Linked DNA regions of Cricetulus griseus. The protein of the gene in region 1 interacts with the protein of each later gene in a pairwise test. Links are inferred from orthologs where the notes say so. Each region holds a gene or a part of one and is shown on either strand. Other genes may lie near its edges.

What was found.
Region 2: the proteins of Coq8a (region 1) and Tfip11 interact in binary tests that used the Homo sapiens proteins (3 or more experiments, as listed by UniProt). The two-hybrid records come from large-scale screens. The link is inferred for Cricetulus griseus from reciprocal best matches to the Homo sapiens genes COQ8A and TFIP11.
Region 3: the proteins of Coq8a (region 1) and Tmem239 interact in binary tests that used the Homo sapiens proteins (3 or more experiments, as listed by UniProt). The two-hybrid records come from large-scale screens. The link is inferred for Cricetulus griseus from reciprocal best matches to the Homo sapiens genes COQ8A and TMEM239.
Region 4: the proteins of Coq8a (region 1) and Tmem159 interact in binary tests that used the Homo sapiens proteins (3 or more experiments, as listed by UniProt). The two-hybrid records come from large-scale screens. The link is inferred for Cricetulus griseus from reciprocal best matches to the Homo sapiens genes COQ8A and LDAF1.

The regions. Positions count from the first base shown.
Region 1 is NC_048598.1:14,069,074-14,076,483, reverse strand, and holds part of Coq8a (atypical kinase COQ8A, mitochondrial), read right to left. Parts: intron 4,803-7,410; coding exon 4,389-4,802; intron 4,153-4,388; coding exon 4,086-4,152; intron 1-4,085. UniProt on the Homo sapiens protein: Atypical kinase involved in the biosynthesis of coenzyme Q, also named ubiquinone, an essential lipid-soluble electron transporter for aerobic cellular respiration.
Region 2 is NC_048597.1:91,997,209-92,005,367, reverse strand, and holds the start of Tfip11 (tuftelin-interacting protein 11), read right to left. Parts: upstream 4,212-8,159; 5' UTR 4,082-4,211; intron 3,855-4,081; exon of another isoform or gene 3,654-3,854; intron 2,601-3,653; 5' UTR 2,387-2,600; intron 2,102-2,386; 5' UTR 2,093-2,101; coding exon 1,884-2,092; intron 225-1,883; coding exon 71-224; intron 1-70. UniProt on the Homo sapiens protein: Involved in pre-mRNA splicing, specifically in spliceosome disassembly during late-stage splicing events. Intron turnover seems to proceed through reactions in two lariat-intron associated complexes termed Intron Large (IL) and Intron Small (IS).
Region 3 is NC_048599.1:48,203,809-48,210,142, forward strand, and holds Tmem239 (transmembrane protein 239), read right to left. Parts: upstream 2,380-6,334; 5' UTR 2,365-2,379; coding exon 1,912-2,364; downstream 1-1,911. Other genes in the region: CUNH20orf141 (uncharacterized protein C20orf141 homolog), read right to left, coding at 3,034-3,289, 3,377-3,534.
Region 4 is NC_048596.1:80,520,985-80,529,065, forward strand, and holds the start of Tmem159 (lipid droplet assembly factor 1), read right to left. Parts: upstream 4,212-8,081; 5' UTR 4,063-4,211; intron 3,124-4,062; exon of another isoform or gene 3,091-3,123; intron 1,707-3,090; 5' UTR 1,649-1,706; coding exon 1,508-1,648; intron 1-1,507. UniProt on the Homo sapiens protein: Plays an important role in the formation of lipid droplets (LD) which are storage organelles at the center of lipid and energy homeostasis. In association with BSCL2/seipin, defines the sites of LD formation in the endoplasmic reticulum.

The sequences.
Region 1 (7,410 bases):
GTCTCTGGGCCACTTCCTGGCAACACTACCATAGAAGATGACCACTTTAAGTCTGCAAGAGGGGCCAGCAATCTTGATGTTCCTAAGCCTTCGCCGTAGCAATATAAAGCAGCTAGCAGTAAAAGGTAGAATGTTCCACAACAGCAAAAACATGGGGTGTCCCAGCTGAAGCCCACAGAGCCGGAACAGACCCTACTCCCTCCATTCCCATGCTGGCAGCAATAACAATGAGAACAGTAGCCTTGGGCTCTCCCTCCCTCCTGACTGAGACCAGGCAGAGAGAGCCTAGGAGTCTGTCTCAGACCCGCACCTTTCTGGGAGTTCCCTTCTCAAAGGCTGTCCAAGACAGGCACACCACTCAGAGACAGGGTGAGTGAGGCCTGATGCTTTCCAGCCTTTCTACAATAATTCATTAAAGAAAAATACTGGGTTTACTGAAAAACTAATTTCATGAAAAAAAAAATTAAGCTGGGCATAGCCACACATGCCCGTTATCCCAGCATTTGGGAGGCAGAGGCAGAAGGTCGGCCACTGTTCAAGGCCATCTGGGAATACAAAAGCCTTTCCTCAAAAAAAAAAAGCCACAAATAGATAATTTTTTAAATGCATTTTAATTAAAAGATATTCTTTTACAGATTTCATAATATATCTTATCTACCACTAGGTGGCAGTGCACTCTCTACTTTGCCCGCTCTAACAGCTGCTCCTACCTCAGAGGTCACCAAGAGAACCAAAGGGTAAAGTGCTCACATTATCAGGTCAGGGCACCACAACAAAAACAATCAAGCCAGCGATGACAAAATAAGTCTCATGCCAACTGCATGCATGACTTTAGATTTTCTAGCAGCCCACTTAAAAAGGCAAGCAGAAACACAAAGAGTGAATTCTAATGTATTTAACCCAGTATGTGTAAAATAGACATCATTATCAAAATTAAAGGCATTTTCCATCTGTGGGTGTGTGCCTGGTCTTGAAATCCTGTAGGGAGGCACATGCACAGCACACAAACTGGAAGAAGTCACAGTTCCTGTAATGCCCAGAGACACAATTTAAGATAGCCCACCAGGATGGTGGTGGCGCACGCCTTTAACCCCAGCAGAGGCAGGTGGATCTCTGTGAGTTCCAGGCCAGCCTGGTGTACAAAGCCACAAAGAGAAACTCTGTCTGGAAAAACAAAAACAAACGAACAACAACAACAAAAATCCCACCAGGGACATGGTGCCCTGGGATAGAGGCATTAACATGGATGCCTGGTGGGGGCAGGCACCAGCGCCGTTCTCTTTAACACTCCTCCTACCCCTGCCACCCTGCAGGGCACTGGGCACTAGAGTCCTGATTAAACATTAACTCCCCACCACCTGTCTTCCTCACCCTACCCAGCACAATATCCGACTTAGACACCAACCTTCACCAATGTCCCTTTACATCTAGAGTCCTCCTGCTGAGAGCACACCCTGAGACGAGCCCACAGAAAAGGCAGATGATATCACAGGTCATCAGCTTGTCCAGGTGAACACGGGACCCTCCTAAACATACCCTGGCTGGACTTCACGCTGTTTCAGACTGTTCCTGGCTGTATCTGGGCTCTTGGCAAAGCACAAACTCTACAATGGGGAGAGCTGTTACTAAACAAACGCCTGAAGGAACATTCCAGGAAGGAGGCCTCAGACTCCTCAGTAATAGCACCAGGCCCAGGAGCTGCCGACTGAGGGACAGGCTCCCTGCAGCAGGCAAACCAGAAAGCAAAAACAAGCTCACCCAGCCAGCAATTGTGATCTTGGCCTCCTCAGTTCTACAAACTCAGAAAAAACTGCCCTCCAACCCAAGCACTGGGCCTGGTGTCGTGTGATTCTTGGAATTCCCTGCCCAGCTCAGCCTTCATCTAGAGCCAGGTGGCTCTGGGGAAACTAATTTCCTGCCACCTGTCAGGTACCCTGCTTCTGCACCCAAGGACCTCACACAGCACTGCCTCTCCTACTGTGACCCCTGCTCTAGAAGGCTTGTCTACATGTCACCAGGACCAGGAAACCCCTGTTGGCAGCCTTCCTCCTGGCCTGTAACAACAGCACACTGCAGGCTACAAAGTGCCCATCCTGAAAGGTGGTTTTGCCATCAAGGAAGGGAAGTGGCCGGGCCCGAGCTCTCGGCAAAGCAGAGGCCCGGTGGGCCTGTGTCCAGGTCTGGGGCCTCTTCTGGGTACTCGGGTCACCCGAGAAGCAGTCACTCCACTTCCTCCAGTCACCAGAGAAGAAAAAAGCAAAACAACTTTCAACAACAGAGTCCTTCAAGAGCAGGACAGTGACACACAGGACAGCAAGAGCAGTAAGCCACCACTCCTGATGCTGTTGGCTCTGCCTGCTGAAACTCCGGGGCCTGTTTACAAAGCAAGGCTGAAAGAGGCCTCTGCAGAAGCAGCCAGACAACACTGAGCTATCAGGCACCATACGCCACAGACCCGGTCCTGCTTTTACCCCCCCCCCTTTTTTTGTACTCAGGGTGAAAGCCAGTCTTGTGTGTACTAGGCAAGGTCTCTACCCACTGAACCACACCCTCAGCCCCAAACCCCACTTTAGTTAACACACATGCTCACTCACTTTGTTAAGAAAGTCCACACAGAGCAGACAGATGGACATGGGCACTGCCCTTTGCTTCTAGGTATTAACAGTCTCCTGGAAGAATACCTGGCATCCAAGAGCATTCTCAACCCCAGAGAAGTCATGGTCCTAGGACAGGAGCCACAGCCCAGGTACAAAAGGAAGAGGAACAAAAGGGAGGGAGGGGAGCACCCCGAGGTTTCTTCTCCCAGGGCCTCAGGACCTGGCCAGAGGCGGGGAAGACCTAACAGGCCCTCTGCTGGCTGGTTACATGGAGGACCTAGTTATAGGACAGGAAGCTCAGATGTCCCCATACAAGACAGAGGTCTGGGCTCAGCCCCTCCTCTATGAGTGCACAGAATAGCGGCTACCACGATGGGGCTGAATCCATGAGGGTCGATTATTCCCAGCCTGTTTCTGCCCAACACCAAGTGAAGAATTTGCTTTACCACATACTTCAACCACCATGATGAACTGCCTCACTCCAGGCCCAGAAACAGTCAAATGAGCAGAGCTGAGCCCTCTGAAACCTATTGTTTCTGTCATGTTTTGTCAACAGTAAAGAAAAAAAAGTAACCAATACAGATGGAACATAGAAGAAAGCGTATTTCCCAGAAAAGGGTAGACAGAGGTCTGGGCCTCCCGAGCAACTCACCACCAGCAGCACCATGAACCCATCATACCTGTTACATACCCAACCATCTGGCCAAGGCCAATAAGTAAAATAAGCCACCAAAACTGTTATTTTGTCATTTATATTGCCTGGAGAACCTACTGGGGACAGCTACACCTTAATAAATGGTACCACCAGAAACCCATGTCAGAGTATCCCACTGCAGATGGCCAGCATTCCAAACAGGGCCTCTGCAGATGAGCAATGGGGACACACCTTCAGTGTGTAAGGTCCTTGCAAAAGAACGCAGGTATGAGATTTCAAAGGCTGTTCACATGACAGTAAGGACAGATGAAGTCCCCAACACTAGCAAAGTGAAATGGCTTTAACTGACAGCAACAGAGGGCCACATTCTGTCAATATCATCACACTAACAGCTTCAGACCAACGGGACCTGGTAAACCTGTCCCCCAAATGGCTGGACCCAGGGTAAAAAGTCCTCTATCCAGGGAGCTGACAGGTCCAGTGAAGAGCTTGTACTCATGGCCAGTCTCCTGTCTGCAAAGGCTGCCCTGACAAAGGCCCACAAAGTAGTCCAGGTTACAGCTCATGGCAAGATTTGGCCACACACCAGGCCCAAGGATAAGCCAAGATGGGGATGGAATTCAGTACCAGGTCATCACCCATGGGAACACCCAGACCCTTTAACAGCTAGCTCCTGGGCTACATTCCACATGCTTCCCAATACTGGCACATGGCTTGATTCCCAAACCACTTCCACCTTAATGCACAGTGGCCTCCACTGTACCTCCACCCAACCAGGACAAACAGGGCAGGGCAGTAGGAGAGGGGCAGCACAGGGAACGTGGCCACCTCACCTCCAAAGTTGGCCAACCGCCCAATCCGGGTAACTGGCACCTTCCTCTCCCGAGCCCGCTCGCTGAGCTGGAGGGGAAAAACAAAAGAAACCTATGGAATTGACAAAACTGACAAATGAAACAAGGCAACCTGAGGCTCATGCTGCCTGTACCCCCATCTCCACTCCCACTGGCCGCAACTCCAGCAGGCAGCACTGTACCAAAAGGTTGCCGTATCCTTCAAGACACAGCATCCCAACGTAGAGGGGGGGGGATTAGGGGTCAATACCACCCAGGTCCAACTATGCTGCCTCTCAGACCCACCATCTGCTTATGTGGCTTGCTCTCAGGGCGAGCCTTGGCCTGCCGGGCCTTCTCAATGTCTTCAGCTGTGAGGCCCCCCACAGGGGACTGGTCCTGGTGGAAGAATCTTCGCTGGATGCCACTGGCCAAGAATAAGTCTCTCGTATTGACAAAGAGCCTCCCATTGACTCTGCCCATAGGGGAGGTGGCCTGTCCCGACAGCCCCGCTTCCCTGAAGGGTCCACTGGAAACGTAGGTAGGAGCTGGGCCCTCACTGTGGGCATGACCCAGGGAAGAAGACAGGGACTGGTCCGGGGAAGAGGTTGCAGAGAAGTCCAGGGAGGTTTCAGCTGCCTGTGGTGTTGAAAACTGAACCTCGGCTTCCAGATCTTCAAAGTTCTCGGTGGCATACAAATCTTCATGCTTATCTTGACCCTGTGGAGAATAAAGGAGAGTGTGAAGAGAAGGACTGGTCTGGAACTCCTGGTGAGGGTACTGCATGTGACTGCCAACCAGCCCCCTCTCCCCTCCGAAGGTAAGGCTATGCCTAAGACCCCTGTGGAGGTCCCCTTCACAACCTAGGAGGCATCAGATAGCTCTAGCCTGCTTCTTCCAGAACTCTACTGTGATCTTAGCTGGCAGCTATACACACCACCGAGCACCCAAGCAGGGCCAGGAAGATGTACACAACTCTAGCAACGAGTTCCTCGCCTATAAAGCAGGGCCAACACTGAAGCCTATGGGGCTTTAAGGAGAGAAACCAGTACAAAAGGCGAGGAAAGCTTGCAGAAGCTTAAGATGGAGACCACTGGGTTCTGCGACACCTCAAGGCAGCAGACCCCAACCCCCAACTTCCCCACCCCACTCCTCTGTCAGCCCTGGGTTGCAGCTAAGAGGTTTTTGCTACAGGTGGTCAGAGAGCCTGGCTGTTCTTGTGAATCTGAGACATGGAGAAAGGGGGCAGTGAGCACCCCATGTTTCCTTTGAAAGTTATAGGTTCAAACTTCAAACTCAGGGTGAATTCAGAGATTCACTCTGATTTTTTAACCTTGAATGAACTTGAACAAGTTCCAAACCCTTCTCAGTGACTTCTACATCTGAAAATAGGGCTCCCGCTGTCAGTCAGTGACAAAGTTACAGCCAAGGCCCCAGAAGCTGCTGGTGAAGGCTATGATTACATAGCACTGTGCCCTAAAGAGAGAGAGAGAGGCCTATGGCCAGGTTTCTGGTTCAAATGAAATCTGAGCAAATGCCATGTCCTACGTGCCATTCACATGTTACATGGCAACAGTGGGAGGCCTGGAGCTCCCTCACTCAGCTACTTGAGATGCTCTGAGGACTCAAGAACAAGCCTTGCTCTCCCATGGCAGCGGGTGGTAGACTAGGTGCCACTCTCACCTCACAAAAGGAAACTAAGACTGCTGACGTGACTAGGAAAGGCCAGAAGGCAACAGCAGAGCAGGGTCCAGAGCCAAGGGCCTGCTCTGCCATTCAAAGTCCCAGAGTAGAAGAAACAAGTCATACTGGGAGAAGTTCTGGGTTCTTCTCATATAGCCAGGCCTCATATGAAGAGTCTGGAGCAGAGGCCCCTCCTGTCCCATGGCTTCCAGGTTAAGCACTTGGTTTTATGTGACTGCTATTAAAGTAGCTGGGGAACCCTACAGGCAACAAAGGACCCTTGTGCCTGACAGGGCCCCAGCCTCGGTATGCACCTGATGGACAAATGTATGAATAAGTGCCTGGCAGCAAGGCACACAGGTTCCCAGAGCAATCGGATCCCTCAGACATCAGGTGACGAAAGGAACCCCAAACCCAAGTAGTAAGGAGTGAAGGGGGGCCTCCTCCATGGCAGTGGACTAATCCATCTTCTTTCTCTGGTGACTAAGGGAAGGTGACCCTGCCTGCTATAGACTCTAGCTAGACACATAAAGGAATGGTGGGGACAGGAGAAAGTCCTGGAGGAGTGTCAGGAGAGAGCTCGCACGCCAGTGCAGGAGGCCCGTCTAGCATGCAGCCTTCCTTTGGAGTGACCTAGGTCACTGGAGCAGGCTCACCTTCCAGGCTTTCCACAGGACAACCCCCCAGCAGGACTCCCACCACCTCAACACCAGGAGGACAGGAGCTGGGAGCAAACTAGGAAAGGACAAGGATCCCTACCCTATCGAGAGTCTTGCATCGACCTTAGCCTGAGAAATAGGAGTAAGCATAGTAAGCACACAGCCCTGCCATCAGCATTAAAGGACCTCAAGTATACAGGGTATGAAGACTTCTACAGAGCAAAGGCATCTGTAGGGTGAGGAACACTGTGTCACCCTAACATATGAGGGAAGGGCCACGAATCCTGGGACTGGGACAGCCTCATACCCAGAGAAGCATGAGACCTTTATCCAGAACCGTGAAGAGAAGTGCTTGTTTAAGCCTCCAAGTCTGTGGACTTCTGTTGTAACCACAGTACCCTCACAGAGGAACCTGATCTGCCCTAACATCACAGCAGGACAGGACAGTAAAGAGACAGGGCAATCTCTGTAAAACAAACATGTGCGTGTGCACACACACACACGCACGCACGCACGCACGCACGCACGCAGGCAGGCAGGCAGGCAGGCAGGCAGGCAGGCAGACAGACAGAGAGATGTGCTCACATACACACACCTACAGCTAGGTCTATCTGGACACTGCTTTAGCTTAAAAACACTCCTTAATACAAGATGCTGAGGTTGGACCTTGGCACAAAGGTAAACTTCATCCCAACCAGGAGGGAAAAGCTATCACTAGGGCTATGATAGCTGCCACCCTGGAAGGGAGAACCTTCAGCAAATAACAAATGGGTCTTGGCTGAGGCTCAGCAAGTCTTGCCTATAGGAGGAGTCTTCAAAGGCTGAAGTTGATCCAGGCTGATCTATACATGAGCCTCTCCGTGTACTGTATGTCTGAAACCTAACCTGTAGCATGCTAGTACATGGAAGGTGATTCCATCATGAGGATAGAGCCAGGAAACCAGAAAATGGGACCTTATCTGTAGGGAGAGATCCTAGATACCTGT
Region 2 (8,159 bases), on another chromosome or scaffold:
TCTGCCAAAGAAGTTGCTGCACTGATGACCTCTGACTGTTGCCACTTAGAGACTATCCTGTGAGACCTACCGTTTTTAACTTCTTTGGTCCTAAGTCCTTTGGAAAGTCCTCCTGCTTCGCAGGCTTTTCATCATCATCAGAATCATCAGAGTCCGCTTCTTCAGCTGCCCCTTTCTTGAGCCCTGCGCTGATGAAGTTGACCGGTGCAGAATAGTCTCGGGCCCTGTAAACAGACACAAATCCCCCAAGGCTAGAAAACACCTCTGCAGCACCCTGTCCTCACAGAGAGAACTTCTTAGAGAGAGGGGCCTCGTGGGATCCACTTTAAACCATAATATGTTTATTATGCCCAAATGCCAAAAGGGACTCAAAACTGACCTCCAATAATCTTATGTTTAGCATATTAAAAATTATAATATCTTGCCAGGCAGTGGTGATACATGCCTTTAATCCCAGCACTCGGGAGGCAGAGGCAGGTGGATATCTGTGAGTCTGAGGCCAGCCTGGTTTACACAGTGAGTGCCAGGATAGGCTCCCAGAGTTGATTATAAATTAAAAAGATGATGTAATAACCTTACTTCCCTTTGACACTTTTTTTTTTTACTTTTGGTTTTTCGAGACAGGGTGTCTCTGTGACTTTGGAGGCTGTCCTGGAATTAGCGCTTGTAGAGCAGGCTGGTCTTGAACTCACAGAGATCCTCCTGTCTCTGCCTCCTGAGTGCTGGGATTAAAGGTGTGTGCCACCACTGCCCCACTACCTTTGACACCTTTTTTTTTTTTAAAGATTTATTTATTTATTTATTTATTATGTATACAGTGTTCTGTCTGCATGTGTCCCTGCAGACCAGAAGAAGGCGCCAGATCTCATTTTGGATGGTTGTGAGCCACCATATGCTTGCTGGGAATTGAACTCAGGACCTTTGGAAGAGCAGCCAGTGCTCTTAACCTCTGAGCCATCTCTCCAGCCCTCCCTTTGACACTTTTAAAAATGTGCACGATGAGGGCACATGTGCCTCGCAAGCATGTGAAGGTCAGAGGGCAACTTTGTGGGGTGGGTCTTCCTTTTCACTTCTTATGTAGGATCTGGTGATAGAACTCCGATAGCCAGGCTTGTGTGGCAGTGGTAAGCAGCTTTACTTGCTGAGCCATCCCACTGCCCCCCCCCCTTTACAATTGAAAAGAATGTTTTTAGCTTTTAGAGTGGTAAAGCACTCACCTAGCATGCATGTGGCCCTAGGTCCAATTCCCAGCAACACACAACACACCATTTGTTTTAGATACCATTTCAAGTGTAAAAATCAAACAGGAGCAGAAAAATTCTGATAGATAAGAATCTTAGCTGGGCAGTGGTGGCACACACCTTTAATCCCTGCCATTCAGGAGGCAGAGGCAGTGGTAGGACAGCCAGGGCCACACAAAGACTCCCTGTCTCGGGGGGATCCTAAGTAAAATTAATAAAAAATTCTGAGTGTAGTTAAGTGTGGGGACACATGCATTTTTCTTTTCTTGTGAGACAGTGTCTTACTGTGTAGCACAGGCTGTCCTACCACACTTATCTTGTGGCCCTAATCACTCTCTACCTTCATTTCAGCCAACTGTATTCTACAGGGTGACCTTCCCTAACCTCCCTATCCTTTAGGACCTGTGAGAATGCTCCTTGACCAGGGCATGGTTCCAAAGCTACCAAGCCTGTGGTTGGTTAGCACTCGTCTATCCCTAAGTAGCTGTATTCGTCACAGTAAGTGCTGAGGAAGAACCTGCCACCCCAGGTCAACAACACACAGCAAGATGCTGTAGCTATAGGACTTGATAGGCCAGAAAACTCTTTTGGGGTGCCTCTCCGATCCTCTAAAGCCAGGGCATGCAGCTCAGCAGACAGTACCGTTTGCCTCCAAAGCTGGGCCTCTCTTCATCGGAGTCATGTTCAGCCCATACCCCATAAGTGGCCTCCTCCTTGGTCTGCCAGTGACGCTGCCGGTTGGGGTTGAACTCATTCTGGAGATCCCAATCAGTGATCTCAAAGTTCTCACGCTCATCATCATCATCGTCCAGATGACCTTCCCCGTCCCGGTACAGGTGGGACAGTGACATGGCTGGTCACTAGAGGAAGGGGGACAAGAAGAGCAATGTGAAACCCTGGGGCCAACAGAAGATGCCCAGGAATCTCTACTCCTGTTTCTTCCAAAGGAAAGCCCATTAGCCTCATGCTACCAGTCAATAAAGTAGCCATTAAACACAGGACAAAGTGGCCAGCTCTGGGACAAGTGAGAGAAGTCAGTCCCAGCAGTCCATACAGGTCTAAGAACCCATTCTGCCTTGGCCTTGTCAGAGTCAAACATCACCCATAAGTGCCACAGGAAGGAAGTAATAGTTCTATGTTATTACCTCAGAAACTGAGTGGGCACCTCAGCCTCTTCAGTTCTCCAAGAGTTATATCAAGCCAACTGGGAGTCCCAGGGAAACTTCTGAATGTCTTCTGAAATACTGTTTCATGAGATTGAATGACCAGTGTAACACTCGGGTTTTTTCTTTCAAACCTGAGTGGCTTCTGAGGTACTGGAAGGCTGAGGTCTTTATGAATGACACTACACAGCGGCACCTAGAGGGTGTGGGATAAACAAACTGTTCTACCCAGGAATCTGTTTGGCCATCTCGGTAATTGTATCAGTGACTACAGTCGGTTTTAGAAGGACTGATTAAAGTGGCACTTTAGAAAAGAGAACTCCTGCCAGGAGTTGGTGGTGCACGCCTTTAATCCTAGCACTCGGGAGGCAGAGGCAGGCGGATCTCTGTGAGTTCTAGGCCAGCCTGGTCTACAGAGCAAGTGCCAGTGCCAGGATAGGCTCCAAAGCTACACAGAGAAACCCTGTCTTGAAAAACCAAAAAAAAAAAAAAAAAAAAGAGAGAGAGAGAGAGAGAGAGAGAGAGAGAGAGAGAGAAAGAAAGAAAACTTCCTCAACACCTACTCCACAATCCCCCTCCTCAACCTCCCACCCCACCGCCTCACTCAGGAGGCAGAGGCAGGTAGGTCTACTCTGTAAATTCAAAGCCAGCTTGGTCTACATAGTGAATACCAGGCTGGTCGGGGCCACACAGTGAGACCTGGTCTCAAAACAAACAAAATAACAAAAGCTGAGCTCCCAATAGGTGCTTTAAAAACAGCATCCTCGCCGGGCAGTGGTGGCGCACACCTTTAATCCCAGCACTCAGGAGGCAGAGGCAGGCGGATCTCTGTGAGTTCAAGACCAGCCAGGTCTACAAGAGGCAGTTCCAGGACAGCCTCCAAAGCCACAGAGAAACCCTGTCTCGAAAAAACCAAAACAAAAACCAAAAACAGTATCCTCTTCAGGCTGGAGAGGCAGAAGCAGGCGGATCTGTGAATTAGAAACCAGCCTGGTCTACACAGCGAGTTCCAGGACAGCCAAGGCTACACAGAGAGACCCTGTGTAGGGACGGAGGGAGGTAGGGAGGATTGTGAAAATCAGGAACACTTAAACCACACAGCCTGAGTTCAAAGCCCCCCTCTACCAGCGCCTCTGTGCGTGGTTATCACATGCGTGGATATCACACACAAAAACGCTAGCGTGGTACACAGCACACTAACGTCCTCAGTGTGTGACGCCATCGACTGACAGCGGTCTTCCTTACGTACAGCGAGATCTGGGCTTCTCTAGCAGGGTGGGACTGCTTAGCCATTAACAAATGTGTCCCTGCTCCTCCTCATTATGCACCGTTAACATCAACAGGTTCCAACCTGAGCTACGAGTGCACTTTGCTCGCAAAGTTCTCAAAGGAGGCAGGGAGCCCTGGACCAATCGGATTACAACACCGTCGCCTCCCCAGCACAGAACTGCTACAAAAAAAAAAAAATTTCACAGCGGTCAGGTGCTGCTCACAACACGAGCGCGCCCGGGGCTGGCTATCCAGTGTCAGCATCGGGACGCTGGCGGCTCCCAGCGCCTCATCTGGTCCCGGCCCCGCCGCAGCCCATGGCTGGAGACCCGGGCGCAGGGAGGCCATGGGGCCGCCGCAGAGGCTCAGCCCGTGCTCCCAGGACGCCACCCCGACCCCGCCGCTCACCTCGCTCGGCGTTTGCCAGCCACACAGCTTTCTCCAGCCTACGAGAGCCTGCGAGGAGCCCGCCAGCCGAAACCCGGATGTAGCCCTGCCGGCGCACCGGAATGACGTCACTAGGCGGTGACTTGCCACTAGAGGGGGGAGGGTCTGCGTGCCGGAAGGACTAGAGATCCCGCCCGCACTGCTTCCGGTTTCCACCGGAACTGAGGCGGAGTAGACATCCGGCCAATGGAACGCCATTGACCGGTGTCCAAGGGAGCGTAGGAATGGTTCCGGGAACCCCCCCCCTCGCGGATGGGAACAGCCGGGTCCGGACTACCTGAACCAATGTCACGCGGACCCTGAGTAATTAAAACGCCCTCGGCACTCCCTGTCGCGAGAAGGGAAAGCGAGGGGCTTCCTAGGAGAGATTTCTCCGTTCCGATCCCCTCGCTGCAGAGCAATCATCATGCACACTTCCGGGCTTTTGTTTCCTCTTTGCTGTAAACAGGAAAGGTAAAGGAGCCTAAGAACTTATCTCCAGGCAGTCTGGCCAGGCTGTAAATAAACCCGTTTTCCTTTGCCAGTCCCTATTCCTGTTTTCTCCTGAAACAGACTGACACTAAGACAGCAGATTTCTGCACCCAGGTGCCTCCTTCTTGGCTCTTTTAGGACAAGCCAGCCTGGGCCCACAAAAGTTTAAGGCATGAATGGGCGGAAGGCGTGCACAAGCGTTCTCTCCAGGAAGAAGTTTTATTATTTTCCTCTCCGCTCCAGTTATTTCTCTTGCTGTGATAAACAACTAAGGGGAAGCGGGGCGGGGTTTTTGCTTGGATTAGTTTGGGTTTGGTTTTTCAAGACAGGGTTCCACTGTGTAGCCCTGGCTGTCCTGGAACTCGCTTTGAACTCGCTGGTCTGCCTCTGCTTCCAGAGTGCTGGGATTAAAGGCGTGTGCCACCACCGCCAAGCAAAAGCATATTTCATCTTACGCTTCTCCGGGTTATAGTCTGATGCCATCTAGGGTTAAAGAAAAAGTTAGTTTTCTCTCACGTCCTGGTGGGGTTTTTAGTTGTTTTTTGTTTGTTTGTTTGTTTGGCTGGTTGGTTTTCCCTGTCAGCTTCACACACACAAGAGTTGTCTGGGATGGCCTGTTAGGCAATCCCGTGGGGTCATTAACCTGGTTAATGATTGATGTAGGAGAGACCAGACATTGTGGGTGGTGCCACCCCTGCTTTGATGGTCCTGGTTGAGCTTGGGGAGCGAGCCAATAAGCAGTGTTCCTCCATGGCTTCTACCTCAGTTCTTGCTTTCAATTTCCATCTTGTTTTTCCTTAGTGAACTGTAACCTATAAACTCTTTCCTCCCCAAGTTGCTTTTGATCATGGTCGTTACAACTATGAAACCTAACTTAAAACGCACCGGAAAGATGTATTAGTGAAGCGCTTTGGGCATCTGTCAATGTCACCATGTTAACTGGTGAAGTCAGGGTCCCTTCTTGGGGATTATAGTCCATGAAAGAATTTAAGAACAGATAAAAACGAAGGCTAGAGGGCAACCCTTCAAAGGTCGAGCAAACTGTAACTCTCACAGCTGCCCAGAGGAGAATGGAGGAAAAGGAAAGGCATGATGCCATTTGAGATAGCCAGTTTGGAGGTCAGCCACATGGCATGAGGGGGTATTGGAGGGTAAGTCTAGATGCCCAAAGTGCAAATTTAAAGAAAAAAAAAAAAACAGGGCAAACAAGCTGGAGATCTAGAAACTGCCTGGGGGAGGAGAATGGAGAAGGGGAAAGCCTTGTCATAAGATAAACCGGCATAGAGGTCAGTCACATGGCGGGGGAGGGGGGGCCTTCAGAGAATATGCAAGGAATCCCAGTGCATGGAAATTAAAAGTACACTTATGTTGGGGAAGAATATTCTTGCAAGTGACAAAGTGAAAGTAACCCAGCCAGGCAGGCAAGCACACCTAAGCCACAAGCTGACTTCATTTCTATTCTGGCAAAGGTGTGTCTGTGTCTCACCCGGTTGGTAGGAGCTCAACCTCAATTTGACATGATTGCTACTCCATAATACTCACAAAGGGAAAGCCTGTGATGAAAAGTCTCAGAAATGTTTGGCATCTGAGGCTTGGACGTATACTACAAGAGTTTCACAAACTAAGGAGAGTTATGGAATACTGACCCTTAGGCAAGATAGCCATCTTTGATAAAACAAAACAAAAACCTTCTCACACTTGGGCTCTGTCCAGAATCCAAAAGGAAAAGACAAAAGAAGAAATGTGCCAGGCATGATTGCACACACCCTTAATTCCAACACTCTGGGTAAAAGTACAGGATATTGGATCTCAGTGAGACTTGTCCTAGATAGCAAGTTCCAGGGCTAAATAATGAGGTCTTGTCTCCAAAAATGAAAGAAAAAAAGAAAAAAAAAAAGAAACAAAAAGAAAAAGGTTTTCTGAGTCAGAAGTCAGAAAGACCCAACTGAACCTGGGTGGAAATTTACATTATTCTAAGACGAGCCTGCACGTGCATCACCAAGCAGGTCCTCAACCTGCCCCACTGGATTAACCCTTAAGTAGGGGAAACAAAAGCATCGGTAAAACATAGACTAACAGTTCTCAACCTCTGGGTCACGACCCCTTTGGCAAACCTCTATCTCCCCCCAAATACTTACATTATGATTCATAACAGCAAATTACAGTTACGAAGTAGCAATGAAAATAATTTTATGGTGGGCTGTGGTGGCACACGCCTTTAATCCCAGCACTAGGGAGGCAGAGGCTGGCAGATCTCTGACTTTGAGGCCAGCCTGGTCTACAAAGTGAGTTCCAGTACAGCCAAGGATACACAGAGAAACCTGTTTCAAAAAACAAATAATAATAATAATAATACTTGTATGGTTGTGTGTCATCACAGCATGAGGAACTGTATGAAAGGATTAGAAATAGAAATATCGAGAAACACCAATCTAGAGGCAGATCCAATTTTTTTTTTTTTTTAGATTTTATTTATTTATTATGTATACAACAGTATATCTGCACACCAGAAGAGGGCACCAGATCTCATAAATAGATGGTTGTGAGCCACCATGTGTCTGCTGGGAACTGAACTCAGGACCTCTGGAAGAGCAGTCCGTGCTCTTAACCTCTGAGCTATCTCTCCAGACCAGATCCTATTCTTTTATGTAACAAGTTCACCATTGAGAGAAGTCTGGACAGGAACTCAAGGCAGGAACCATAGAGGAATGTTGCTTAGTGGATGGTCCTCTTGACTCATTCACAGGCTCATCTTTAGTTAGCTTTGTTAGACAGTCCAGGATCACCTACCTTGGTACTGCCCACAGTGGGCTGGGTCCTCCTGCATCCAGTAACTATCAAGACCATCCCAAACAGACACCCCAACAGGCCAGTCATATCTGGACAATCCATCAAAACTTTCCTCTGATGACCATGTCGAGCTGAACAACTAAAGCTAACTAGGACATTTCAAACTGGTCGGTAAGTAAATGCATCCATTCAACCACTGGTTCTATTAAAATATACTGAGTGCCTAGGAGCTACACCCAAATAATATAGCAAACAAAATGGGTGGAAGGTTTGCAAGGACCGTCAAGAGGGACACTGAAACAGATTGCTGGGGAGTGGAGTTCATTAGAAAAGCTATTGACACCGTGAACAGCCAGCCAGGCATGGTGGAGTCACTGAGGAGAGTTCAGGGCCTCAACACCAAAGACAGAAAGTACAGCTGGACTTCTTAGACTTGGAGCCCACGTGGAAGAAGTGGGGATCTGTTTTTTTTGTTCCCAAGGGATGAATGTAAGTCCCTGGAATCTAGGCCAATGACCTAACTACATGGAAACCTCCCAGCCTCAAAGATTGGTACTTCATCAAGTGCCCTTCATCAAGATTTCTCAGTTTAAGGTCAGATGGTGGCGAACTCCTTTAATCCCAGGACTCAGGAGGCAGAGGCAGGTGGATCTCTTAGTTCAAGGCCAGCCTGGCCTAGAGAGTGAGTTCAAGGCCAGCCAGGACTACACAGAGAAACCCTGTCTTGAGAAACAAAACAATTCTCAGTTCAAATACTCAACCTTTGGGAAAGCAAGAT
Region 3 (6,334 bases), on another chromosome or scaffold:
AAAGGAGCCAAGACGGGGATGGAGAGACCTGCAGAAACAGTGGACCTGACCTACTGATAGAATGGAGATCCTAGTCATAAATCTGGGGAAATAGCATTGGACCAAACCAAACTCTCTGAATGTGGCTACCAGCTAGGAGCCCAAGACAGTCTATGGCTCCTCTGACAGCATAGCCAGTCTTTATCCCTAGAGCACAAATGGTCTTTGGGAGCCCACTCCCTATGGAGGGATACTATTGCAGCCCAGATACAGCAACGAGGGTCTAGACTTTCCCCCAAACAATATGACAGACTTTGAAGGTCCTTGGTAGAGGGCCTCACTATCCCTGGAGAGGAGTCGGGGAGTAGGTTGGGGTGGGTTGGGTGAAGAACATGGGAGGGTGAGGGAATGGGGGGATGGATATGTAAATATGAGAAATTAAAAATAAAAATTAAAAAACAGATAAGGAATTGGGAAGCAGGAGGAAATGGGAAGGGGTGGGTGTGGATAAAGACTGTTAGCTGGGCCCTGGCAAATTATCTAACATGTCTGTCACTTTATTTGGTAACTGATACTCAACATTTTGGTTGGAGGGGTCAGCAGATAGGTAAATGGCCAGACTCTGAGGACTTATGGATGATCCAAAACCTTCTGGGATGTAAACAACTTGCTTGATCAATTTTGGAAATCCCTGAGCTATTACTTCCCTACTCACACAGCTTTGCAAGCATTTCCTGGCTACAACCTCAAGCATTGCACAACCAGTATAGTTCAATATCTGCCTAGTTTGAGGTTGTATGACACAACCTTTTACATTTCATCCACACCATCTATTCTGTGTTAACTATTTTAGGGCTGAGATTCTATCCACGACAGAATTTCTCTGGAATTCTAAAGAAACTTGCTTCATCATCTTAACTTCTGGATTGAAAGGCTTTTTGCGCTTGTAGAATGTTCTTGGAGCCAAAACATCTTAACTGCTTTTTGGCCTTACAAAGTACTTTTCATAAAACCAAGCATTGTGGCACAAGTTTTAATCCCAGTACTCTGGAGGTAGAGGCAATAGATCAGAAGTTCAGAGTCATCCTCAGTTAAATAGTGAGTTCAAAGCCATCCTGGACTTCATGAGACCCTGTTTCAAAATGAAAACAAAAACAACAACAAAAACCCAAAGTATTTTGCAAATAGATACTGACTTTGGATCATAACAGTCCCATGAAAAGAATGGGACCCACTTAACAATGAGATTCAAAAATAATGAATTGGCCAAAGTGTAGGTGTCTGAAATGGGACTTGTTCTTTCCTAACAGATCTGGAGGCTCTGTATGTATGTAGGGTGGAGTGTATGCTTACGTACAAAGCCTTGATTCATTCTCTAGCATGTGTACACACACACACACACACACACACACACACACACACACACACACACACACACACACCTCACTATGATGATTGGTCTATTTCCTGTTTCTGGGAGGTGATTGAGGTGAGGTCACCAGGGTTTTGGACCAGGACCACCCCTGTCTATCTTTCAGTAAGGTTCTTTCCCAGAGTCTATGCTCCTTCTGGAAGCAGAGGATCCATGACAAATCCACACAGAGTGATGAGACCAGGGATATATAGGTGTAAACTCTCAGGAAGCCTGAAGCAGGGAGGGCTGGGAGGTATGATAAAAAGATGCTGCCTGGGAGACCAAGTGTTGCTACCACATCTGTACAGGTGTTCTCAGTGGTTTGACCAAGATCTTGGCCCTGGCTGAACCATTTGTCCTGTCCCCGACACCAACATGGGTTTAAGGTAGATTCCCAGAAGCCAGACCTCCACCTGTGCTTGTGATTGGGGGTCTGAGGTCTGTTGACGTTCCCCACAGGGCTCAGACCTTGGCCAGGGCTCAACAGACACAGGCAATAAGATGGGGTTGCCCTTCTATTAGTCCAAGTCCTGGGCATAGCCTGGGTGAGTCATGGAGGTAAGGAGGCCCACGAGGCTCAGCAGTGTGGAGAAGAGCAGCAGGAAGGAGGCAGCGAAGAGCAGAGCAGGCATGGCACTGAGTACCAGCAGCAGGATAGCTGGCAGCAGGTGGCTCCATACCACAGCCACCACAGGCCACAGGGAGCTCAGCAGGTGGGAGCCAGTGGTGAAGAGTGCATGGCATAGCATCAGTGCGAGCAGCAGGTAGAGTGTCCCCTCCAGACCCCATAGCATACGCTGTAGAGGTTGCCGCCAGCCTGATGTATTCCACCACTGGGACCAGCTCCGGGGCATGTGGCATGCCCACCATCGCACCCAGTCCTGACGGGTGACCCAGGCTGACCAGGGCACTGCCCGCTGGGGCCCCTCGCCAGCCCCGATGATATCCGTCTCCACTCGTGGCTGCTGCATCACGGCTGGTGCACCTGTGGACAGGGCCAGGCCAGCTGCAGGAGCAGCCCTGGAGATGCCCAGGATCTCTGGATAGGTGGGGTTGCAGGGGTCAGGAGGATACCAGCACGGGCAGGATTGGGCTTTGAACTGGGGCCTAGGACTTACCTTTGGTCAGAGCCACCTAAGTCATGATGTTTCCTGTTGTGCCCAGGCTGGCCTGGCAGCCAGGTCCCAGGCTCACCCTCACTCACTCCACCATCCTCAGAGGAGTCCATTGTGACCTGGGCTGGGGCGGGGCCCAGCTGAGAGAAGAGCTACTGCAGCATAGTGTGAGACTCACTTGAGTCCCTCACTACGGACCTTCCAGGCTGGCAGGAGAGCTCAGCAAGCCTCCCAGATACCATTCTTCTTGCTTGTAGGAACCCTTCCCCACTCCCGTCCCTTCTTGATGGCTACCTCCAACTGCAGGACTGGAGTTGGTTGTTGTGTCCACCCTTTTCTCTGCCTTCTCTTATCACCCTAAGCCTCAGACCCAGTTCTCAAATGTCCATATTATGGAACTAGAGGCCTCTGAGGTTCAAGCTGACACAATAGTGTATTCTACCCTTACACCACAACCTCTGTAACTCAGGATAGAAGAGAGGAGAGCCGGGGAAGCAGAATGGGCGATGTATTTTTAGAAGGCATTCAGTTTTCTGAGGGCCCTCGGTCCCAAGGATGGAGGCAGAAAGCAAGGCCCAGCAGGGCTAAGGGTATACCAGAGCCTCCCAAGAATAGGCCCAGGCCCAGGAACAGCAGGAACAGGGCATCCTGGAGGCTGAGTAGTCCTGAGACTATCCCTGTTGGAAAGAGGGGAGCTGCCTGCTGTCCCGGACCTTCACCAGCCCCCTGGCTCTGACCCATCGGGAGAAGTCTGTGTCTTGGCAGGATGGGACCTGTGGACCTGTGGAGAGAGAAGATGCCAGCTCAAGGCAATTGCTCATCTGACTCTGTGCTTGTGACACCCACCTGGCAGGCTGCTGCCACTTACCCATGGAGCAGGTCAAAAGCAAGGAAGCTGGCCAGCAGCAGGAGCAGCAGGGCTAGGCCAGCTTTCGAGAAGACTGTTCCAATTGTCACTCCTAGTGCCCCCAGCCCTAGGATACTGTCCAGGAGCTGGGCCTGGCTGAAGTCCCAGGGGACACACATGGCTCACTGACCTACTCAACCACTCTCCAGTATCCAGACTGCTGGGAGGGATAATATGGAATCTATAAAGGCTTTGGGGATGGACGAGCAGAACTGGGGCTGGAGGTATTAGGAGGAGCTAGTGCTAGGAGATTAAGAATCAGGGGGAAGGAGGACCCTGGTTTACACTCAAGGGTGAGCTCAGAGAATAGGGAACTGGGCCCTTTGTGGATGCCCCCACCCCCAACTCTCACTCTATCTTCACCAAACCCTCCTCACCTCCTCCCACTTGGGCCGACCATTCTGGATTTGGACACCTGGGGCATTGTGACTTATTCCCAGGCAGTGCCTTGAGTTAAGGACAGGATAACAGTTTGTCTTGCCTCATAAACACTGGTAGCCTAGGTAGCGCTTAGCTAGTACTCACCCTTAGTTATTGCCATGGCAAGTAATTCTCTGCCCCGGGGGACTTCCCATGGCTTCAGGCTTTGTCAGGAAAGCATGCTAGCAGCATGACTATTTGGACTCCTGCCAAGGGAGGAGAGGCTGCTTCCTCCTGGAAGTTCTCAGGCTGGGTGTCTGGGATGCCATTCAGCCATTTAATTTTTTCTGTACCCATTTCTCTTCCCTGAATGTGGGGTAAGGCCCTGGGGGGGGTAGTGGGGGAGTTAGGTCTCCAACTCTGGGGTGCAGAATAGGCTTTTCCAATGGGTAAGCTAGGCTATGGGTGGCAGGAGGATGCCATTGGATGTCTTAAGCACTGCAGTTTGGGGAGATGTTATAACTTCAGAAATGGGACAGAGAGCTGGATATGGTATCTTATGCCTTAATTTCAGCACTCAGAAGGCGGAGGCAAGAAGATTGAGAGTTTAAGGCCAGCCTGGACTATATAGTGAGATGCTGCTCAGAGAAACTTGAAAAAAAAAAAAGATAGAGGTTATGAACCTAAGAGGCTTACAACATTGTGACCTCAAGTTATTCTGAGTTAGGGTTTGTTCATGCCTTCCAGGCTGGCCTTGAAATTGCCGTGTAATGCAAGGTGCTCTCTAACTCTCAGTGAGTCTCTGCCTCTACATCCTGAGTGCTAGGATTGCAGGCGTGCAGTACTGTGCCTCACAAAAAACTCCAAATAGGAAGTTAGGGCTGCAGTTTAAGAATGAAATTAAGGAATGAACATGGAATAAATTTATGGTCACAATTGCTGGTTACTATTATTCAATGAGAATAAATGTGTTCCCACTGAATGAATCTATGAAATGGGAGTGGTTGCAGAGCTATTAAGTACATGGACAGTTTGGTGATAAAAGATGAGTAGAAGTGACTTAGAAATTTAACTGTTACTCATACTTTGAAGGAAAACTGAAGGGAGTGTGGTAGGGGAGACAGTGACAATATAGACAATGACAATATAGCCCCAGAAAAAGGAGAGATTGAGTGAGAATGATAGGAAGGGCATTCAGCTGTCTCCCAGGAAGCCGTCCCCAAAGACCCAGGCCTTGGCATGTTTGGTGCTGTTGGACTTGAAACCATAGAGCCAGTGTCATTTATCCTTAATATTATTTACCTATTGCCTTTCCACTGGCTTTTGTTTGACTGGGAACTTTGTTTCAGATAAGTTTGTCTATGGGGACATAGGAAACAGAAGATGATCCTGTTTTTTTTTTTTTTTTTTTTTTTTTTGTCTAAGTCTCAATTGTTTTTGCAAATGAGAAAATTAGCATCTAGGTTTTCAATTGCCAGTTCCATGAGTCTGTTCATTTCTGGTGCAGCCACAAGATTGCATCGCTGAACTATGGAATTGAGAGTCATGTCCCGACAATTCTACCGAGAGGAAGTAGCCACAATGCAAGGGGTTGGGAATGGGGTGTGCGGCTAATACTCCTTAAGATTTAGTGTGTGCAAGGTGCTCCGCATAATTTGTAGGGTAGTTAGTTCTACTTGGAGTTTTCTCAGTTTATTTTTTGTCCAACAATAATTTATAAATTGATCCCTGAGTGCCAGATCTACTGTTGGGTTATAACTCCTAAGGCAGACATTCTACTGAGGGCTTGGAGTTGTTCTCAGAAAGAAAATAATTAGGAGATGAGGAAGGAGAAGGACAGGGTAGAAGAAAGGGATAACCTAGCATATTGTCTTGTCTGGAGTCTAGCCTGACCTTGCAGATAGCTCTGAGAACAGTGAATTGTGCTATAGAGTTGGTCCCATCTTATCAATCAGTCATTGATGATAGCTCTTTCATGGAGGAAAGAGAAGGGAAGTTAGAGAACTGTAACTTTCAGCATGAAAGCAACTTCTATCTGCTGAGCGCTTTTGTCTGTAGAAATCAAACAGCTATAATTTATGAATGGCAAACAATGGGGGTGGGCACACTGTTGGTAAAGGGGACGTCAGTGGGGAATTAACAGCATATGGTAGCCAATCTTGTAATAAACGATTCAGCAAATCTGGATTTGTGACATGTTTATTCATAAAAACTATTTGGCTTGGGACTGGAGTAGAGCTTCTTAGTGATTAAGAGCTCTTCCTGCTCTTCCAGAGGACCAGGGTTCAGTTCCCAGCGCCCACACCAGGTGGCTCACAACTGCGTGCAACTCCAGCTCCAAGGGATCCAACACACTCTTCTAGCAACTCATAAACCCAAAAGTGGCTGGCTCTTGCTGGGCTCTCTAAGGAGCTATTCTCTAAGTCCTTGGAATATCCTATTCAGTATAAGTGTCTCTGTTTACACAGGCCATATCAAATAGTCCATGCCAGCAATGTAATTTTTGCTGAGGACTTAGACCAGAAACTAGGATTACCTTGGCCTCTAGAGGGTTTGGAC
Region 4 (8,081 bases), on another chromosome or scaffold:
ATAATGATTTCCAATTTTGTGTTTTTATGGATTGTGTATATGTGTGTTTCTTGTGTTGTTTTCTTTTTGTTTATTATGCTTTGTTTTTTGCTTGCCAGTTTGTTTTATGGTTGGGATTTTTGTTTATTTGTTTGTTTTTTGAGACAGAGTTTATCTGTGTAGCCCTGGAACTCCCTCTGTAGACCAGGCTGGACTGGAACTCAGAGAGCTGCCTGCCTCTGCCTCCTAAGTGCTGGGATTAAAGGTGTGGACCACCCCCGCCCAGCATGCCTGTTTGTTTTAAAGAGAGAGAAAGAAAGGGCATGGAGTTGGGTGGGTGCTGATTCTCTGAGAGAAGTAGGAAACCAGGATGCAATATATTATATAAAAAATATCCCCCCCCAAAAAACAACAGTGAAATAAAAAGAAAAGAAAACTGGGGGTGGTGGTGGTAGAGTGCACCTCCTCCATCAAAAACTGGTCTTTCCTGTGTCTCATTCCTCAGGGCCTTGGAGGCCAGTGGCTGAAATGAAGTGCCATTATCAGAAGGGCCTCTTTCTAAATCACATACTTCTCCTATATTTTAAGGGTGGGAATCTGGAGCGTCTATAAGTTAGAAACATTTCCAGCTTGTTATGGTTCAAACCTGAAATTCAATGAAGTCTTGCCTCTGAAGATTCCACCACATGTGGATCTGGGAATTCAAACTCACATCCTCATGATAGCTGGACAAGAGCTTCACCCACTGAACCATTGTTGAAAGGCATACAGAAAAAAAAAAGATACAAATGCAAAGTATCTCAAATCCCACTGCACTGAGTGGTGGTGACTGAACATGATAAACTTGGCTAATTTGTATCATAATAGTCCTGTAAATTCAAAGAAGCCTAGGATTCTGAGTCAGTACAAAAAAAAGAATGTGAAACATTTCCTTTTCCATGACTATATACTAAAATGACACTATTTTTGATTTATTAACTTAGATACATTCTTAAAATTAAGCCATTGCTTCTTTGTACGTAGGGTTAAGTAATAAGATATTTTAGTGCACATGTGGCTAAAGTAACATTTCTGTTGGATGATGGATTTCTAATGAAACAAAACTCAGATCTTAAACTAGTTATTAGCTGGCCCCCTTTCTTATGGGAGCAGATGAGCCAAACTTTTCAAAGAAAAGAGTAGTGTCTGCTAAAAGTAGCCTCTTTAGATTCAGCTGAAGAGTGGCCATTATATGGGATGTAAATGGGAGTGTTCTGCAATTCTCTGTGACTTCCAGGAATCTTCCTTAATTTGGAGGTGGCTTCAAAACAATCGTTCTTCCCACTCCCCTATTGTCCTGTTACCTTGAATGTCAATATTATGACTGATGCTCTAGCAGCCACAACGAACATGGCACAACTCAGACATATCAAGGTGCAATGAGAAAGATTCCTGACTTTCTTGTAAATTTGCATTTGAGAAAGAAGCAACACTCTGTCTTGTTCAGACCAGTGTTCATTTCTCATTATACATAGCATTGGAGACTAACCTTTGAGTTACTCTGGAAGGAGTCTAACAGCAAACACAGCTTCCTTTGCAGCTCCTGCAAGTCTCTGGAGACACTTGGGGGCTCTTCTTTAGCCATCTTGAAATGTCTTTCAGTCTCACTATAAATTATATCTTCTACCATTAAGTTCACTGATGTAGCATGTAGCCCAGCCTCTCATGTCGCCTGTCTCTTGCTATCACTGAAGGAAACAGAAAGTTTCTTGAAACATTAGTAATCCCTGAGGAGCCTGTACCATCCCACACACTGATGGCAGGCATGCAGATGGATACAACTTGACAATATTTATCAAATTTATAAGCTGCACAGACATTGATCCAGCAATTTATTTTTCATGAACCTAAATGAGTTAAATAGATATATGAAAATATTTCCAAAGGGTGTGTATCTCATTCCTGTTTGTAATATATAATGACCAGCAAGCAAGCTAGAAGGAAGAAGCTAAATCTGTTTATTATAAACACGTCGATGGCTGGGTGTTGGTGGCACACGCCTTTAATCCCAGTACTCAGTACTCGGGAGGAAGAACCAGGCGGATCTCTGTGAGTTCAAAGCCAGCCTGGTCTACAGAGTGAGTTCCAGGACAGGCTCCAAAGCAATACAGAGAAACCCTGTTTCAAAAAACCAATAAATAAACACTTCACTGTTTTATACCACACACAAACACACAGTATAAAAAAAGCTAGAAAGACATAATCTCTGAGTGTGTATGCCTTTTAGCCTGAATGTTGAAAAGAACATATGACAAACAAGAAAACTATATGTACTATTCAAGTTTCCTCACCCCTTCTCTCTACCCCTACCCCTCCCAGTCTTTTTTTTTTTTTTTTTCTCCTTCAACAGGGACTTGGGACACTTTCTCTTCTTCATTTGGCTCCCAAGCACCTTGAACAATGCCACCTTTTATTTATGTGTGGTAAGGTCCTCACTAACAATACCTGTCCCCAAAGCCTTGGCATAATTATTTTCTGTCGATAGAAAACCTGGAATTTACAAGACTATTCATTTCACATCATTTATGCGTTTTTTTTCATGAAGGCAATTCGCCAAATTAGATACACTTTTAGCCCTCGTTTGGTTTTCAAATAAAATATTATTCTTATTTTATGTATCCCAGAACATCTGTCTGGGTGGGACAGAATAGGATCTCTGCATATATCCTATCAGCCAACCCTCTGACCTCACATAACTTGAGCTATGTAGATTCTGTCACGGTGTCAAAAACAACTCAGAGATCCTCACGTTTATTTACCACATTGAATATCCCACTTGCCTATTATGTGTTACAGTGAGGAAACATACTTTACCACTGTCTACACTATAGAGTGTGGTATGTATAGTTTCATAACGCCGGCTACAAAGAGAGTCTCTTCTCAGCCAGGGGAGAACCAACTCCTACACCAACTCCCATATTTATGTCGTTAATGCAGCAGCTGGCAATGTTGTTGAATTTAGGATGGTCCCAGCCTTCAGTTCACCTAATTTCATCTCTGCAGCTGGCTAAAACAAGCCAACCTGCCCCCCTTACAAGTCGTCTTCTGGCTGGAAAACATGTAAGAGCCTACCGGACCGGTCTGGGGAGTCTGATGAAGGCAAACCTGGGAAGAATGCGGATGACCACAGTCAGCACACGCGTCTACCTAGCCACCAACCAATTTCCAGACCTCAACTTCTTCTAGGGTCCTCTGCAGACACTAAGCAGCATCATAAGGAAGGACCGAAGGAGCCACCCCAACTAGCCTAGGGCGCCCCGCCTACTCTGAGCTTGGGGGCCTAACCAGGTTCCCCCAGAACAGGCCCCGCCCCAAGGCTCCAAATAAAGCCTTGCCTCCCTACTGCCTCGTCCCATGAGCAAACCGCCACCGTGAACGTTCCAGCCGCGGGTCGGGTCGAATCCCAGAGCTGGGGGCAGGGCTTTGGGGCGCCTAAAGACCTATCCCGGTTCCCTTTTCCGATGAGTATTGAGACTTTCAATTTAAGGCCGGGAATCCAGAGAGAAGAAAAGGGTGTGACGTGCAGATGTAGATCTGACACCCGACCACGGACAACTCAGGATATTTGGGCACCCTTCACTGATCTTCTGGGGCAAACCCACCTTTGACACCTGCAGCTCACTCCTGCTGTGGCGCATGACACCCCTGTTGATCAATCCTAAGGAGGTGGTGTGGATGCCTGGGCGACTCTAAATTTTCCAATGCAGATTTCCCCCAAATGAAGCAGGGCCTCGCTCGTGGATTGGCACTGGTGCTCACCCCCACCCCCTATTTTTTAACCAAATCTAGCTACCGATGTGTAAGCGCGGGGATGGCTGGAAAGGGTGGGTGGGCTCGCCCCGTGAGCTCCCACCCGCGTCTAGCCAGCGACACGAGGCTTCAGATACCTTCAAGACCAACCCAAGAGACCAACAGCTACTGGCGAAAGAAGCTAGTGCACTTCTCCTGGCCGCCGCCGAACTCCTCCACTTCCCAGGACGAGCTTGGAGGGTTCAGCCAGTCGGGGGCCCCTAAACTCTACATCCCATAGCTTTGCTCTCTCACCTGGTGCTAGCTGCCGCGACACCCAGCTCAGCCGCCACCAGGGGCGGAAAGCAGAGTAGGAGGAAGAGAAGGGAAGCAGCCCTGATTGAGGACGGGAGCTGGAGCTCCCCACCGGCAGGCGCTCTTCCTTCAACTAGGAAGAAGCCCCGCTCTTCTGCCACGCCCCTCCCCTAGGCCCCCGCCCCCTCACCGAGGATCAACACTGATTCTCCGCCCAGGCCCAGGTTCCTGCCCCGCCTTCCCGCCGCAGCGGGAAGGATCCGGTATCCTGGCACCAGCCGCGCGGCTGCCAGCTTTGCTAGGAGTATTTGCTTCTTACCACACACTCTAGGAACAACCCCTACAAACTTTTAGACTCTAAAGGATGACTAACGAGGAAATGAGGGCTTGGAGACAGTCCCTACAACGGTGGCTTGGAGTGAAAGTTCTGGGGCCACGTCTCAGGTGGACTGGCCTCAGAAGATGGGTTTTTAGAAGAACTTTTCGATACAGATCCAGTTCTAGATTCGCCTCCGGAGTTCGAGTCGGAGAAGTACCTCCTAGACTGGAAAGTCTAGCCATTACGAAAGTGCAAATGTTGGCAGTCAGGGAATCTTAGAGATGGGTTATCTCCATTTTGCAGATTAAAAACAAAAACAAACGGAGAGCTAAAGGGATAAGGTTTATAAATAAACTCAGATCCTCTTCTCAAGGATCCATGGTAGAGAAACCCACGTTTCCTGATTCCAAATCCAGGCCTGAAGAGTGCAATTACTCAATAGTAGTTGGCATTTGAGATGGGATGAGTCTGTTTCCTACATGCCCTGTGCGCACTGTGGGGTGCTTGGAAGCATTCCTGGGTTCTACCCACGAAATAAATAAATATATGGTAACAGCTCCTCCCAGCTGTGATGGCTGAAAATGTTTCCGAGGGATTGGGGGATGGGGCGCAGCCATCGGGTATTCAGAAGCACTGCCTCTGAGCTTACAGTGGAAAACTAAGGGCTGGAGCTCTGGAGTCTCCATCTCAGGGCCCAAGTCTAGCTGTGGCTGTGTGATATTAGTAATATTAACTCTCATGGGGAGCATGGTAAGATAAGGGTGTGTCACTGAAGTTTTTTTTATTTCAGGCACTCTTGTCTGGCTGCATACACTTCCTGTAGCTGCAGTATAACACATTCCCACCCAGGGGAAAAGAAAAATGGGTTTGTTTTCCTTAGACCATCAGACCCTGGTGGACATTGCTTTGGAAAATCGGGGCTTCTCTGGGACTTCAGCGTAAGGGTGCCATCTAGGGGCACCTCTTTGAATTCTCTAATTCTTCCCACCTCCCGCATCCGTTTTTTAAATCAGTAGGTTTTGCTTTTCCTGGAGTGACACTGCCTTTCCTACAATACCTTGTATTTCTCCTTTGGGGGTCAGCATCTCTGTAGCATTGAGAACTTGGCTCTTTATGAACATTCAAAGGATTGATAAAATAAACCCATGTGAAGCCTCTCCTAGGCTTTCCCACCATTTTCTATAGCAATGAACTGAATAATTTTATCTCTTCGTCCCCCAGTGTGATGATATTAGGAGGTGGGGGCCTTTGGGAAGCTATTAAGCAAGAAGATGAAGCCCTTAATTAATATAATGCCTTATAAAGGGGGGAGATGGAAGAGCAGCATACAAAGCTGGCAGTCTAGAATCCTCCCTGTAATCTCACCATGCTGACATTCAGACTTAAGACTTCCATCCTTTAGAACTATGAGAAATGGTGTTTCTTGTTTTTCTTGTTTATTTTGTTTTGCTGTTGTTTTTTTTTAATAAGCCGCTCAGACTGTGGCACTTTGTGATAGTAACCCCTATGAGCTAACACACTTGTTCTAGTTAAGCAATTCTTTTTCAGCCCTCTAAGGTCTAACCTGAGCACTGGCTCTGAAGAATAAGAAATGGAGACAATTCTTCAGCAATGCATTAATCCTAACTGTTACTGAAAGACCCCAACTCAAAACCCAGCCTGATACCCACAAGCATGTATTTGAAAATCACTCTGGACACACACACACACACACACACACACACACACACACACACACACACACAGCTCTGGGAAAAAGAACACATGAAATGGTTGGTTCATGAAGACCAGTCTCTGGAAATTGTTATTATTACTAGTTTCCAAGGAATGCTATTATCCTCAACAACTGTCTGGTTTCTAAAAATTGTTATGGGTTACCCTGCTCCAGAGCACCCACGTATTGAAAATAAGTATAAGTCACTCAGTTCCTGGAAAAATCACTAGCTGTTCCATGGCCTTACAAGTGTAAAAACCAAAATAACATTCCAAACCCCTCGTGGGCAAAATTGTAAGTTCAGTTCCCAACCAATCAGTAAATGACTCATGTATGTTATAGTGAATCAATATGTTGTCACACTCCTGCTTAGTGACCAAAAAGATATAAAAACTGCTTGCTTTGGAAACTCAGATTTATCTCTTCTTAGGAAAAGACCCCAATGCATTGGAATAAAATCATTTTGCTTTTGCATTGAACTTGCATCCTGTGAGTGACTCTGTGGGATTGGTCTCCCCGAAGTTGGACCCCCTTTTGGGCCCAACATTACCAGCCAGAGCCATAATATGACCTAAATACAGCTGGCCTCTCCCCCTAGATTACCAGATTTAGCAACTGAAACTGTAGGACTCTCAGGTAAATTTCTTTTTGAGGTTAACAACCTATAACTTTTTGGTATATGCATGTCTCATATGTATTTGGAACACATTTATTTAAAAAGGTGTTTTGCCTGAAAAAATGCTTCCCTGAAATTCTGAGCTTCCTGGTTATCCTGAGTTTTATATGTCAACCCTAGGGATTTGAAGCTGAAGACAATGAGGGTCTTAAGCTGACATCATTTCTTAAGAATAAACAGAAAAGTGTCCTAAAGGATTAGTTCTCTTTCCCCCTATTTCTTCCCCTTCTTCTCTCTCTCTCTCTCTCTCTCTCTCTCTCTCTCTCTCTCTCTCTTCTCTCTCTGTCCCCCCCCCTTTCCCCATCTCTCTTTCCTCTCTTTGGAGACAGGGTCTCACTTTTAGCCTAGCCTGGCTCTTGTCATTCCTCAGTCTACACATAGGTTTTTAACTAAAGCCATGAGCAGTTCCCATAACCACATTCAAGTCCCAATTTTGCTGTTTACCCATTGGAGCAACTCTAGTCAGGTTGCTTAGTTAGTTAGCTAGTTAGTTAATTTTGTGTCTATATTCCCAAACATAAAAATTGGGAAAATAAGACTTTCTCTTGAATTGTTGAGAAGATAACCTTTATGTGTTGGGCATGAATACCAGCATATCACTTATCAGTAAACACAAAGTCCTCTTGTTTTAATGCCTTTGACCATAACTAGTTTTTAAAGAACATTAAATGTCAGATGAAGACTATCTTGCTACACAAGAGGCCATAAACTCATTAGTAACATGCTCATCTTTTTCTACTCCTCACATACATGGATGAGAGTCTCTCAGATGTACAATTCATCAATACAAAGGGCTGATTATACACTTTATGTTTGTGTGTGTGCTGGGCATCAAATCCAGACCTTGTATGTGATAGTCAAGTGCTTTACTACATTTGAGCCACAACCCAGACTCTCTATTATATTTTATGATAAGAAACATTAGCATAAGGGAGGAGGATGGTCAGGTTATTCTGAAGTGTAAAGAGCCAAATCTTGAACATAAAGTGTGAAAAAAAGGAAACATACTTGGTGCTTTTAAAAGGGATGGAAAATGTTTGTGCCCTGAGCAGGTCTGCGAAAAAACAGTGAAAATGTTTCATACTGTAGCCACTCTGTTAAGACAAGCTAAGGTTGGAAAACTATGTATCTCTGTTTCAGTTTCCAAATAGGAGCATCATGAAGTTAAGGGGGAAACTGGATGAAGAAACAGACAGGCACTGAAGCATCCTGAAAGAGCTTGATAAGTCTAACTTGGTTCTAAGGGAATATTGAAAGCAGCCATGTGATGAGTGCTTTGAGTGTTGGGGCAGTGTTGAATCTTGGGTACT